Oryctolagus cuniculus: one gene and its partners. The protein of the gene in region 1 interacts with the protein of each later gene in a pairwise test. Links are inferred from orthologs where the notes say so. Each region holds a gene or a part of one and is shown on either strand. Other genes may lie near its edges.

Evidence for each region.
Region 2: the proteins of CDK6 (region 1) and CCND3 interact in binary tests that used the Homo sapiens proteins (3 or more experiments, as listed by UniProt). The link is inferred for Oryctolagus cuniculus from reciprocal best matches to the Homo sapiens genes CDK6 and CCND3.
Region 3: the proteins of CDK6 (region 1) and CDKN2B interact in binary tests that used the Homo sapiens proteins (3 or more experiments, as listed by UniProt). The link is inferred for Oryctolagus cuniculus from reciprocal best matches to the Homo sapiens genes CDK6 and CDKN2B.

The regions. Positions count from the first base shown.
Region 1 is NC_091447.1:43,167,918-43,173,998, reverse strand, and holds part of CDK6 (cyclin-dependent kinase 6), read right to left. Parts: intron 3,248-6,081; coding exon 3,112-3,247; intron 228-3,111; coding exon 81-227; 3' UTR 1-80. UniProt on the Homo sapiens protein: Serine/threonine-protein kinase involved in the control of the cell cycle and differentiation; promotes G1/S transition. Phosphorylates pRB/RB1 and NPM1.
Region 2 is NC_091436.1:127,963,374-127,967,576, reverse strand, and holds the start of CCND3 (G1/S-specific cyclin-D3), read right to left. Parts: upstream 2,801-4,203; 5' UTR 2,639-2,800; coding exon 2,441-2,638; intron 1,642-2,440; coding exon 1,426-1,641; intron 1-1,425. UniProt on the Homo sapiens protein: Regulatory component of the cyclin D3-CDK4 (DC) complex that phosphorylates and inhibits members of the retinoblastoma (RB) protein family including RB1 and regulates the cell-cycle during G(1)/S transition.
Region 3 is NC_091432.1:185,075,825-185,080,108, forward strand, and holds the start of CDKN2B (cyclin-dependent kinase 4 inhibitor B), read right to left. Parts: upstream 2,801-4,284; 5' UTR 2,436-2,800; coding exon 2,280-2,435; intron 1-2,279. UniProt on the Homo sapiens protein: Interacts strongly with CDK4 and CDK6. Potent inhibitor. Potential effector of TGF-beta induced cell cycle arrest.

The sequences.
Region 1 (6,081 bases):
CAGCTCTGCGGGGCTTGCTTGGGGACCCGTCAGCCACCGTGGTGTCCTCCGGATGGCCAGCTCCGGGCGGCCGCTGGGCCTCAGGCTGTGTTCAGCTCTGAGGCGCTCTGGCTGGGCGGTAGGTGGGGATCCAAGCTCTCCTTGCCCCTCTCCAGGTCTTGGAAGTACGGGTGGGCCAGGGCGCTGTAGGCAGATATTCTTTTGGCTGGATTGAAGGTCAAGCACTTCTGCAATACACAGAAAACATAATCGACCGCCGTGACACCTGTCAACATGAGTGATACGCAGACAGCGCTGCCTTCTTCCTGCGTGTACCACGAGGACAATGAGCGTCTATTTCAAGAGCCTCGTTAGGGTACCAGCACAGCACTCTGTGTCATGTCCCCTTGGTATAAACTGCCCCTTGGGAAAAGACTTCTCCCCTCCGCCAGCACCGCCCACGGAGCACCCAGCAGGCGACAGGCACTATCTGAGGAGCAGGGGCCACCCCGTGAGCCAGGAGCTCACACGCAGCAGTGGAGCTGCAGCAGCGTCTCCGTGTCTCTCTGGGAAGCAGCGTCCACTGCCATGAGCGGCCACGTAAGATGCCCACAGCGCTTGTCCTCCGTGTGACGTCATTAGGCTTAGGCAGGCTTCTTCCACTTCACCTGGGTTCCTGCTCACCCAACCCTGTCCTGACCGGTTTAGGGCCTCTTCTAAACCTCTGCAGAAAGCTGCTGTTCTAGAGAAACACGAACAGAAAATTCTGCCTAAAATTTCAGGTAAATTCCCGAGCTCCTGACATAGGAGGCACATGGTTTTTTGTTTTTTAAATGTTTATTTATTTAATTTTTTAAATGAAAGATTTACTTATTTGAAAGGCAGAATGAGAGAGAGGGAAAGGGTGTGGAATGTGGGAAGAAAGAGAGAGACACATATCCATGGAGAGAATATCTCCTGTCTGTTGGTCCATTCCCCAAATGGCTGCAATGACTGGGACTGGTCCAGGCCCAAGCCAGGAGCTCAAAACTCTACCCAGGTCTCCTATGTGTATGGCAGGAACCCAACTACTTGGGCCATCATCAGCTAGGAGTTGATAGGACTTGAATCGGTCCCTTGATACAAGATGCCAGAGTTTCAAGTGGTGTACCACTGTACCACAATGCTGGCACCTAGTTAGTAATTTTTATTTATTTGAGAGAGAGCGAGAGCGAGTGAGCAAGAGAGCGAGAAAGCAAGAGAGAATAAGAGTGAGAGAGAAAAGGGGGTAAGAGACAACATCCATCTGCTAGTTCACTTCCTAAATGCCTACAACAGTCAGAGCTAGGCCAGGCCTGAACCAGGAGCCAGGAACTCCATCCAGGTTTCCTCTATGGGTTCCAGAGACAGCCATGATCTGCTGCCTCCAAGGTGCACTCCTGGGAGCTGGATGGGAAGTGGAGGCGGACGTGATTCCAGGCACTGCAACAGGGGACGCAGGCAGCCCATGATAAGGCTTAACTGGCTGCACCACAACACCTACCCTGGGGCAACATGCTGGAGCCTGAGTTCTGTCTTTCCAGAATCTAAGAAATAGAAAATCAGGCAGTGCTGTTAGAAAAGGCAGGACACAGCAAAGAGAGAAGAATCGTGGGATGTGATCCGGACACAGGGAGGTGTTCCTGGAGGGTTGCCTGCAAGCCCTTTCCCCACAGCCCCTCTGAGGGCTGGGTGCAGGGAAGAGGGTGGAGAGAGGGAGGACTCCAGCCAGCTGGGAAGCCCTGCTGCACTTTGTCCTATGGAGATACTGTTAGCAAAGGCAGTGACCTCCTATTGCTGCTCTGCTTGAGGAAGAAGGAGGCTCTTTAAATTGTGTAGTAATATTGTTCAATTTAATTTACTTCCCAGTTTCTTAACTGACTTATAAAATGAGCTTTTGGGGAGGGGGGGGAGCTGATGCTGTGGCTCAGCGGATTAACGCGCTGGCCTGAAGCGCCGGCATCCCATATGAGTGCCGGTTTGAGTCCCATCTGCTCCTCTTTTGATCCAGCTCTCTGCTGTGGCCTGGGAAAGCAGTGAAAGATGGCCCAAGTCCTTGGGCCCCTGCACCCACGTGGGAGACCTGGAAGAAGCTCCTGGCTCCTGGCTTCGGATTGGCACAGCTCTGGCCATTGCGGTCATTTGGGGAGTGAGCCTGCAGAATGGAATACCTCTCTCTGTCTCTCCTCTCTCTGTGTAACTCTTTCAAATAAATGAAATAATTCTTTAAAAAATGAGCTTTTGGAATCATATGTGAGTCAAGAGTTGACTATTAGGATAGATTGAGTGCGTAACTTTTTTTGTAACCACATATTCTCCTTCTTCTCTCCCCTCCCCCTCCATGCATGTGTATGTACACATACGCATTCTTTCCTCCATTCAGGTTGGCCCTGGCCAATGGGACGTGGACAGAGGCAGGGTGCTTCTTCCCAGGCCTTGGCTCTCAGGGGCATCCCGTGCTTCTGCTTGCCCTGCTGGCTGCCTCTACCTTCCGAGTCTGATCTCCGTCCTGGGCCCCAGAATGGGACACGCGGAGAAGACGGCACTTGACCCACAGGCTGACGCAGGCATCAAAACCTGCTGATGACTGCTTACCGGGCTCCAGGCACCAAGAGCAGCCCGGCAGGTGAGCTCCTCCACCTACTGTTCTGACCTCCAGCTATAGGAAATCACTTAATAAACACTTCAATCACTGATAAGCATACTCGGTAGTTCCTTTGGAAAATCATTTTCCTAAGCATGTGACTATTTAAGGAAAGGCACCCCAAATGACTCCCAAATTGCTAAAGGTAGCACGAAACTGTAAACCAGGAGACATCAAAGGACGCGGGACTTTGGTAAAGAAGCACATATCCAAGTGAGCCCACAGCCTTAGAAAGGCCGCTCCCAAACACAAGTTCAAAGGCGGTGGCTTTCAAGAGTGTGGATTGGAAAGATGTCCCGGGATCGACAGCCACTAGTAGCTCCAGGTGCGGGAAGGGAACTTATAGGGGGACTGCAGCCCTGGGCTCTTGTGGCGATGCAGGTGATGGCTGCAGCAGTCGCTGCACGGGTCCTCCTGCTGCCACACAGCCTGGACAGGGCAGGCGTCTTATCAGCACAGGGCGAACTTACCAGAAGCAGGTCTTTGCCTAGTTCATCGATATCTGTTACGAACTTCTCAATCGGCTGGGCAGATTTGGAATGAAACGCTTGCCTGGGAAGGGCAACATCTCTGGGCCAGTCCTCTTCTCCTGGGAGTCCAATGACGCTAGGAAAGAACCACAGGTGCACGTGAGCACTGGGCACTGCCAAAGCTCTTCCCTCAGGGAATGCTAGAGGACAGCCGGCTCTGAGGGCCAGGCAGGAGGGCGCAGGAGCCCAGGAAACCTTCACGTGGTGAGCCAGGCTCTCTCCTTCGCCTCTGTCCTACTGCAACAGGGCAGGTCACATGCTACCGGGGAAGCTCCCAGGACTGTTAACTCCACTGGGCAGTGACGAGAGATTATTTTCGCAGCTGACACCAGATGTAAAAGATGATGGAGAAATGGAAGAGTGCATTACTTGTGTGTAGGCCTCAACACGGGACTTACTATGTTCAGAGGAGACCTGCCGGGGTGTGTGTGTGTGTGTGTGTGTGTGTGTGTGTGGCTTTATGCCCAGGAGTGTTGCATCCTGATGGGACACTCCAGCCCTGACATGCTTCTATGATGCTCATTCAACACGGCTTATCAACACATCGACTGGGTTGCATTTCTGACCAAAGAGTGCTTCTCCACAGAGTAACTACATATATTAGAATCCAACAACAAAAATGAGGCTAAAAGATACATTAGTCTTAGGCACAGATTATTTTATAAGGGAAAGTATATGGCATTCTGAAAAACAAATTAAAAAGACTACTATTCATGTTCCCCCTGAAAACTTTTCTGGGATCAGAAAGCTGCAGAGAACAGCAAGTGAAAGACAACACAGATTTTGGAAATAGGCAGATGTGGGTTGCATTCTTACTGGCAGGTAAGGACACATGCCTTAGCACCTATGATTCTTAGTATCTTTATGACAATGGCAACAACTGATGGCTGTTATGAGGATCAGCGATAATTTACATAAGCTGCATAGCACAGTTTCCAACACAGTCAATATCCATTCATTATCCATTATGATCACAATCAGAAAATCATCCTGTTAATCCAAAATGCAGAGGAAGTATATCACCACTACACTGAAAACATGAACTGCTTCAATTCTGCTTATGTGTAACTTCAGGTTCTTCGGACACATTAGTAAGCTGGTGGCCCTGCACAATGTATACAATACATAGACATGATTTAAAATGGATACATGGCTGGGTAAGTGGGTTTGAGCAAGGAAAATCAGGTGATGCAAGAATCTGTATCTCAGACTCCGGATAACTCTGAATAAAAGAAAAATTCAGTGTGGTGGACAAGAGGCACAGCTAGTCCAACGCTGGAGGAGACTTCTCGGAACCGTGGGAAAGCAAGGGTGCTGGCGTACGGCACATTCTTCTCCTTGGACGGCACTCACGAGGACTGAGGGCCTGGAGAGAGTGCTGTCCTGAACGTAGTTCCAGGTTTCAGGAGGTCCTGGTGCAACTGTCACGGGGTTTCCACAGCTCTGTTTCCCGTTCCTTTACCCCCAGAGAGCCCAGGTCAGACTTCACTCGGGAACAGCAGATGCCTCTGTCCTAAGTGCACCTGTCACTGGGGGCTGGGGCAGGACACTGCGACTGTGCCTCTGCCGGGCATCCTGAGGGCCGCATTGTCCAGACAAAGACTCGTGCACACTGTCACTGGAATCAACGAACAGAAACAACAGTGTGACCAACACACAGATATGCTTAACAGCAAAGTCTGTAACAGGAATAAAAAGAAAACGGAAGTGCCGCTACCAATTATGAAAAGAAATGCACTTGTCTGTCTGGAAAAGATAGTACAGAGAGGAAGAAAAGAGAGTCTTTACTAAAGACTTTGAAAATTTTTCTTTGATTCCTTTTTAGCTCTTTTTATATATTTTTCATATCATCAGCAGAAATTGATATCTAGAAATTGATAACTCGAAGTATCAAAGCAGTTATCAAGAAATATCAAAGCAGTTATCTAGAAATTGAGTCTTTTTATTCGCAGCTTTGAATATATTTAGATGGAGCTAAATCAACTGAAGGCCAAAAGCTTTCATTGAAACAGCATGTCTCTATATGGATATGTGGTATGTAATTATGTATTACTTATGGATATGATCACTTATATAAACTTACATACATAAAACTTTTAAGTCCATCACCATTGAGTCTTTTTTTTTGACAGGCAGAGTGGACAGTGAGAGAGAGAGACAGAGAGAAAGGTCTTCCTTTTTGTTGTTGGTTCACCCTCCAATGGCCGCCAAGGCCGGCGCACCGTGCTGATCCGAAGGCAGGAGCCAGGTGCTTCTCCTGGTCTCCCATGGGGTGCAGGGCCCAAGCACTTGGGCCATCCTCCACTGCACTCCTGGGCCACAGCAGAGAGCTGGCCTGGAAGAGGGGCAACCGGGACAGAATCCGGCGCCCCTACCGGGACTAGAACCCGGTGTGCTGGTGCCACAGGTGGAGGATTAGCCTAGTGAGCCACGGCACCGGCCAGCATTGAGTCTTGTAAAGGCTTCCTGAGACACACAGGTCAGGGGTATTATTCCCGTTTTATAGATGGGGAAGCTGAGGAATGAAATGAACTGTCAAGGTCACACACAGTGAGTTCCATTACAGAGCCCAGAGTGAACCCAGTTCTCACTCCAAATCCAGCATTTATTTCTATTTTACTATGACACTGTTCTTAAAAATGCTGTAAAATGTCACAGGCTGAAGGCACTGTTTCACTTTCTTTTTTTTTTTTTTTTTTTTTTTTGACAGGCAGAGTGGACAGTGAGAGAGAGAGACAGAGAGAAAGGTCTTCCTTTTTGCCGTTGGTTCACCCTCCAATGGCCGCCGCTGCAGCCGGCGCACCGCGCTGATCCGATGGCAGGAGCCAGGATCCAGGTGCTTTTCCTGGTCTCCCATGGGGTGCAGGGCCCAAGCACCTGGGCCATCCTCCACTGCACTCCCTGGCCATA
Region 2 (4,203 bases), on another chromosome or scaffold:
TGTGCACTCCGCTCCTAGCTCAGGGACACAGAATCAGAGAAGAGCCCTCTTGGCCTGCTCTTAAAAAAAAAAAAAAAAAAAAAAAAAAAAGCCCATCACACCCAGGCACATACACAATCCCCGTGGTTACACTAGCAAGGGGGTCCCTTCTATCTCCCAGCCCCAAGCCCTCCAAAACGACCTCGCTCCCTGGCCCTGGACACCGGCTCCACCTTCAGAGTGGCCAGAAACTACCAGATTCATCACAAAGAGCTGTGGGGCCTCCCGGACTCCCAACTCCGGCCTCCTGCTCCCATCTCTCAGAGCTACTTGGCAGGAAGAGGAATCCAGTTCCTCGACTCGCAGCAGTCGGGGGCCCCAGTACCCTTGCTGCCCCGCCAGCCAATCACAGCAGCCTACTGGCTGCCCTCCTCCCCGGGAGATGGGGCCCAGAGACTCCTCTCAGGGTCAGGAGAAGACTTGGCTGGCCACGGAGCAAGGTGCCAGCTCCCCCCACCCGCTCCCCCAGCCCCTTAGGAGATGATCCGTGGGCCCTAAAATAACCTCTTCCAGATCCAAACAGCTCCCCCGCCTCCTCCCCAGGCCAAGCAGAACCGATGACCAGTGGAGGGGCCCGGGGAGCCACTTCCCAACCCACAGGAGTGACAGCAACTCCCCACTGGGTTATGAAAGACCTTGGTCAGAGGGCCGGGCCGGGGGAGGGGGCATCGTTATCACATGGGAAGCAGCTGCAGCTCAGCTCCCTGCCTGGGCAAGGGCCTTTGGCTAAGGGGGAAAGGCAGAGAGATGTGTCCACCAGGCCCAAAGCAGCTGCTCCAGTTCCTCAGCACGAGGACAAGGAAGGGAGGATTAGGGCAGGCACTGTCTCCCTGGGGACGCGAGGGGAAGGAAAGAAGGTGGGAGGAACACCTCCTCAGAGCGGCCAGGGCCTGGCTTTAATCTGCTCCGGGAGGCTTTTCTATCACAAAGTCCACAGGAGGAGGAAAAAAAAAAAAAAAAAAAAAAGCTCACCGCAGGCAGCCCCCTCCCCCACAGGAGCACATTCCACACCCCCAGTCCAGTGGGGGTGTGCAGGCATGCCCTGTGCTGCCAATAAATAACTCATGGTGACTGTGTAAACCCAGAGGCGAAGAACTAGTGAGTGCAGACACGCAGCTTCACTTGTTGCTATCTGGGGGAAAGACCAGGAAGCAGTGGCACCCCCTGGAGGCCAGGGCAGAAGCCACCCTGACCACCACACCACACTGCCCCATCTGCAGTTCCACCCCGGTTCCTTTCCCGAAAAGCATCCATATGCCTTAACCCCTTCCCTCCCCAGGGCAGGGCTGAAAGCCTCTGGAGTCTTGGCTTTCCTTTCCCTGGGAAGTGGGGAGACAGCCTGTGCGGGGGTGGGGGTGGGGGGCGCAGGGGCAGCTGCACACGCACCCGCAACTGGCGGGGAGACACAGCGTGGTCGGTGTAGATGCACAGTTTTTCGATGGTCAGGGGCGTGGTCTCGCGCAGCTTGGAGGCCAGCAGCATGCAGACCGCACCCAGGAGCTGCAGCTGCGCCTTTCGGGTGGGGACGCAGGACAGGTAGCGATCCAGGTAGTTCATGGCCAGGGGGAAGACTTCCTCCTCACAGCGCTGCTCCTCGCACACCTGGGGGAGCACGAACTGTCACGGACGGGGCAGGAGCATGGGAAACGAGGCGGCAGGAAGAGGGTGGGGTGGGGTGGGGGCGCCGAAGGGAAGTGGAATGGGGCGCACGGCCACGAGAGAGGGTAAGCGGCTTACAGTGACAAGGACCAGTAACGAGAGGATGCACCCTCCCCACGGCGACGCCGCCCCCCCCCCCCCGCCCGTTTCCTCTGAGTCGCCTCCTCCCCTCTGCCCTGGAGGGGGTGGCAAAGCAAAGGCGCCCTTCCTTGGGAGGAATCCCAAACAGTGATTCCCCTCCCCCACAGCGAGGCGAAGGGGCAGGAAGGGTCGCCCGTGGCTGCCAGAGGAGAGCCTTGCCCCCGGCGACCACCACCCACCGCACACACCCAAGGGGAAGGAAGGAGGCTCCAGCCGCCGTCTCCCACAGTCTCCTTCCCCGTCGGGCCGGAACGGGCGCGCCACCCCACCCCCAGCCAGCACCCCGCGACACACGCAGGAACCGAGAAGACCGGGCGGGGTGGGGGTTGGGGGGAGCAGGGGCCGTGGAGGGGACGGCCGGCTCGAGCAGAGGCTGGGCCAGGGTGCCCATAACCGGCCGTGCCGGTCGGAAGGAACATATCAGGGTCAGGGAGGGGACGGGGACACAGCGGAGACAGCCGGAAAGGCCAGGCCCCGAGGGTCGCGGCCGCCGAAGCATCTTGCAGAGCGGCGTGGGGCCCTAGATGTTCCGACAGGGCGGCCCCCGCAGGTCCAGCGGTGGGGGGCAGCGAGGGTGGGGTGGGGGGCGTCCGGGCGGTACCTCCAGCATCCAGTACGCCAGCATCTTCCGCATGTGCGGCTTGATCTCCCTCTGCACGCACTGGAAGTAGGAGGCGCGGGGCACGTAGCGCTCCTCCAGGCGGAGCAAACTCTGCAGGACACGCTGGTCCCCCAGCAGTCGCGGGTCCGGCCCGGCCCGGGGCGCGTGCCGGGTGCCCTCGCAGCACAGCAACTCCATTCTCAAAGACAGCGCACGGGCAAGGGCAGGAGCGCGAAGTCGCGAGCGGGGACGCGGGCGGCGGACCGCAGAGCGTGGCGCACGGGTCTGGCGCTGGCGCTGGCGCTGGCACTGCGCGGTGCAGCCCCGGCCCGCCCGCCGCCCGCGCGCGCGCCGCTTCCCTGACAGGCGCCCCGCCCCTCGCGACGATGTAGCAACCGTGGAATGCTCGGACGTCGCAACGTTCCAAGGGGCGGGGCCGCCGGCGCCCCAGACGGAAAGGGCTGGCGGGGCGCTCTCCCCGCCCCCGGCGCGGCCCCATTGGCCCGCGCGGCGCAGGCCGGCCGGCTTCCGGGCCCGGGCGCTCCCGACCGCCCGGCCGAGTGAACTTTCTGGGAGGTGGGCCTCTTTCCCCGTCAATGGGCCTTTCCATTTTGCTTCTCGGATTGCAGTCACCCAGGAAGCGACTTCTTTGCAAAGGTTAATCATTCAGTCATTCGTCAAACAGCTTCAACAGCCGCTTGCTCCACGGAATGTAATCATAGTTTTTAATGAATGCTGTTTGAAGCATTCATGTGAAATAACGTATTCAATCTTTTTTTTTTTTTAACTCTCTTTGAAAAGCAGTTACAGAAAGAGGGGGAGACCGGGGGTGGGGAGATCTTCCACCCGCTGGTTTACTCCCCCAAATGGCCGCAAAAAGCTGAGGCTGGGCCAGGCCAAGCCACGAGCCTGTAACTCCGTTTTTGGTCTCCCACGTGGGTTGCAGGGGCCATAGTCCGCAGCATTCCCAGGCCATTAGCAGGGAGCTGGATGGGGAGTGGAGCAGCCTCCTATGGAATGCTGGGGTCGCAGGCGGCGGCCCCAGTAACTTAGAAAGCCTTTGCTAAAACACCATCAGATAGGTATTAGGCTTATTTTATAAATTTGAGGAAAAGGAGGCACAGGAACCGCAACATCAGGCAGACAGTCCCAGGCCCTCCGGCTCCGGAATCCGGCACTGCGGGGCCGGCACCATCAGCACCCCCTCCACACCCCCACCCCCACCCCGGGGGTAGGGGGGAGGCTGGGCCGGTGAGAAGCGCAGTTTCTCAGGCCCACCACCGGCCAGCCACGTCCGAATCTGCATTTTAACTGCATTCCTGTGCACTTGGAAGTCTGAAAAGCTTCGGTCTAACCAGCTTAATACAGAAATGCAACAGGGCAGAAAGGCCATGGATTCAAGGCCTCACCTTGTCATTAAATTGATTGTGTGGCCTTAGTTTCTGCTTGGAGCAAACATGGGGGTGGGGGCTGGCTCCTGCCTCAAGGAGTTGACCACGCAGGCTGCAAGCTCTCCCCGCTGCCACTTCTCTCACCTCCCAGACGCTGGGTCGCTGTGCAGTGTTCTCAGAGGCTGGATTCCATATGACTAAGAGGCAGACCACAGACTTACAGAAATGTTCCGGACGGGAGGACGCATGGGGATCCCTTCCTCCCTTGGGGTCCTCCCAACTTAGGAGATACCAAGGACGTGGGTAACTAGAGAAATGACAGTGTATAGACAAGTCACATGTTCTCTCTGAGAATCGGTCTCTTTATTAGAA
Region 3 (4,284 bases), on another chromosome or scaffold:
ACTTACACCTGGATCAAAAGCAAGGGTGCGACCAGCCCCAGGGGTCGGCTTCCTCCTCTTATGCTACGCAGGTCACCCACCTCCTCCCAGTCTTATTCAGATTAAATTAAATTCCATCTTACTCTCCAGACGTGAGAGCACGCGGCAAAATAATAATATCTACACTGAGGGCAAAATCAATGATCGATTTCTACTGCAACATGAGAATCTAGCTGGTTAAGTGATTTATGAGCAGAATTAAACTTGAATGCCTTATAAAGTTTTATTCTCCTTGTTGCCCATGCACCATAATCTAGGTTTAAAAATATTTGTTAGGTAGTCACCTGTTTTGTGTGTGTGTGTGGGGGGGAGGTTGGAGTAATGTTTTAGGGGAGAAAATAAGAAACAACGTAATTCTCTTGTAAGAGGCTCCTGTTTTTTCTGTCACATGTGTCTGCTCATAAACCAAATGTAATCTGATAATCCGAGACAAACTTGGAGATTAGAGGACAAAGTAAAACAAGTCAGGCATACTCTATAAAACGACGAAAACAAATGACTTATCTTGAATTAATGGTTCACAGCTTTTCACCTTTTAAGTTAATGTTATAGAGGCAGACTAAAATTTAGAGTGTAATATAAATATAACTGTAAAATTAACATACATATTTACCTCCTACATGATTTTACATTAGATAGTAAATGTTTTGCTGTATAGTTTGTACATTATCAGTGAAATCAGAAATGATGCATAACTAAAAATGTTTCAGAGGAATAAGCCTATAGCATTCATTCATCTGTATATATATGTGCATTATGTAAGCATTTGCTTTCATATTTTTGTTAACAATAAACAATTTTTGATAACTGCCAAAAAACTTATTTGCTCTTGTGAATTTATGTGCTTCAAAATGTTAATACAATTGAAAGGCAGTACACCTTTAGTCTTGTTTCAAGAATATAAAAACTTTTATTTTTTTCCTCAGAAACTATGATAAACATAAATCATTCTTACAAATGATGTACAAAGTATTTTATATAGAGAGAAGGGGAGGGAGTGGTTCTTAGTGTCTCAGTAAATGGTAAATTAAAAACACAAATTAGAAAACTTGCTTTTATAACTATTAATATCATTTTAAGTCTTTAAGAATCACTTTACAATATCTTTGCTTCTTTCAAATCTTCCTAACTTTACTTTTCTAAAAAGTCAAATGGAATGAACATGTATTTTCTTTAAAAATCTACACTATTAATGAGATCCTTTAATATCAGCTTAGTTCTGGAGAGTGGCAGTGAGGAGAATAGTGACTATGACCATAAGGGTCACAGTAAAGTTCAAAAGCATGCTGTTAGATTTTAAAGGAATGTAAAAAATGTCAGTACTAATTAATAATAGCAGCATTAATACCAAAACACTGATAAGTGCATTTTAACGATGAAGAGACTACTTGTGAATGTCCTGTACCAATCAGAAAGAATCTAATAGTTGCTGCAGAATTGGTTTTGTAATTGAATTGCTGAGTATAGTCGTTAAAACAATAAAAATATGGAGCAGCATATTTTAATCACTCAAGAAACACTAACATAAAAGGAATTAAGGAGTGTTGTTGAGGAATATGATCTCGTCTCTTTGAATTCAGTTCACTCCTATGAGAGAAAATATAAAGGATTCCACATGGAGGCTTAAAAGTTCACTAATTTTTTCTCATGCATTATGATATTGTAAATTTCTTAAATCCAACATAGATTGTGTAACTTATAACATCTTTGTCACTGAAAGGAGACAAAAAGATCCATCCTCCCCAAATAACTTCTCCTTCCCCCTGTTCTCTCCATTCTCTGCATCTTTAATCACGAGACGGTAGAGCAAGTATGGTGGTAATTCGAAAAGTTACTGGAAAACAGAATTTAAACACAAGCTTATTTTGGTGCAAAAAATTTTTTTGAAATCTATTGTTTTTGCCCAACACGCATTTTCCACGAACTTTTTGAAAATCCCACGTATGCATAGATTTCGATTTCTTTTTGCAACAAGATAAGCATCGTTTAAAACCGTTTTCCAATAGCAGTACCCTGGTATTGCTATTTCCCCGCCGTTCAAAAGAAAACCAAAGCGGAGCAGTGGGTTAGTCCACCCCTTTCTTGAGGATTTTTTTGTTGCGTAAAAACCAGCCTAACGACTGGCCTCCCCCTGCAGCTGGCCAGGCTGCGGCCGCGACCTCGGCCCCAGCTCGGACCCGCGGCGGCCGCGCCCCGCGCTCTTGCGCCCCCTGCCGGCGCGGCCCCGGGGCCCCGGCTACCTGGATCGGGCGCCTCCCGAAGCGGTTGACTCCGTTGGGATCCGCGCCGGCTTCCAGGAGCTGCCGCACCTTCTCCACTTGGCCCCGCGCCGCGGCGCTGGCCAGGCCCGCATCGCTGCCTGCACCACCGAGCATGCCCTTGTCCTCGTCTCGCATTCCACGGCCCCTACACTCGGGGCGGCCCGCCACTCCTCCCTCTTTGGCCACCCCGCCTCGGCGCGCTCTCCCCTCCCCGGGAGAGCTCAGCGCAGCTTCTGTCCCCGCTCGCCGTCCTCGTGCGACTTGGGAGCCGATGCAATGGCCGCACGGCCTTGACGAGCTCCAGGCTTTTTCTGGCGCCCACGAACCCGCGGCCGCGCTCAGCTCACTCCTGGGAAAAACCCTTCGCGCGGCCGCAGCCGCAGCCGAGCGGGCGCTTTCTCGGCGTCCTCGCTGCCCGGCCTCACTCCGGCAGAGCTGCGAGCCAGCCGGGAATGAATTCCGTGTCCAGCTGGGCGGCGGGGCTGCACCCGCCCCACCCCCTTAGGCTCCGCCCACTGTCCCGCCGGCGCCCGCGGGACCGGCCCTCTGGCTCCGCAGCAGCCCCGCCCGCAGCCGATGACGTCACAGCCGACGGGGGCGCGTCCCCGTGAGGCTCTGCGACGCATGCGCCAGTCGCCACGCCGGGAGCCTGCGGGAGCGCCATCTGCGTGCTGCCCGGAGCGATTCGGAGACGTTGCCCCACAGCGCTCCGCTCCAAATCCCCAGCAGGCGGAGCAGAGGGCTGCTGTTAGTCGCTCCTTGTGCAATGGAGTGGCCGAGGAAGGCCGTGAAGAAACCTCCAGCCCTACTAGAGTACCTGAACGTGACAGCCCTGCACCTGCCGTGCAGGTTAAGTTCATCCTCAAGCAGTGCTTGAACTTCACGGGTTTCACATCTTGCATTTTAGCGTTGCTTTTGGTGTGTTTTCCTATTTCCACCAGGACGACAGTGAAAAAAATCCCGAGAACCCTACTTTTTAGATTCTTTCCATGTTTGAATTATGAGCACAATCCTAAAAGCAAAAGAAAGCAAAATAGAAAATACTCCCCCAAAACCTAGTCCAAAATCGAGAGGGGCAACCTGGCACAGTATGTATTTTAAGAATCTGACCTAAATCTGTGTATAAGAAATATATGAAACTTGTATAACTTAAATAAAATTTAAAAAAGAAAAAAAAGAATCTGAGATCCCTGTTTGATATTTGTACAGTATATCTTTGTTTGCACTCTTACCTATTTAAACCCAGCTCGGCAAGTATTTGATTTTTATTTTTCATGAGTAATAAAGGACATTTATGCAGTAATAATGAAACATAATAAAACAGGGGTGTGGTATTGATCCTGTCATTAAACAGGCTGAACCTGTCATTAAATTGGCCTCTGAAGATTTAAAGGCCAAGTGCTATTTTCTCTTTCCTACTTGCTGGGTGAGTTTGAATCAACATATTTACTGCTTTAAAGATAAAAAAAATTGCAACTTGAAATAGGACGGGAGCAAAAAATTATGTGTCTATTTCCTAAGAACTTTGGTGATGAATTACTTGAGAGTGGACCTCTCCTAACACTGAAGGGTTCTTATTTAGAAAATTGTTTTGGTTCAGAGTGCTGAAAAAGGCAGTCTTACGAGTCATTTGCTAGCTTATTCAAGAATGACAGACTTCTCAGCATGTTTCTTGTAGCATGCCTTAGATCCTATTCCCTCTCTGGCAAATCAATGTAGGAAAAGAAAAAGCTCTTTCCTTACACACAGTGTGGCCCATGAAGGTGGCATGCAAGGATGAAGACCTACTGATGAGCCCCAACAGGGCTGAAATTCACTAGGAGTGGGCAGGGAAGGAGGCAGTATGCATAGCAAGTTCTCTTTCACATCTCACCTGCTGTTTCTTAGTTTTCAACTTCCTTAATTTCTCTAACTATTGTTCTCATCTGAACATCCACATTCATCTGGGAAAATGTTATTTCATTTGTTAACAACCACCCCCTTC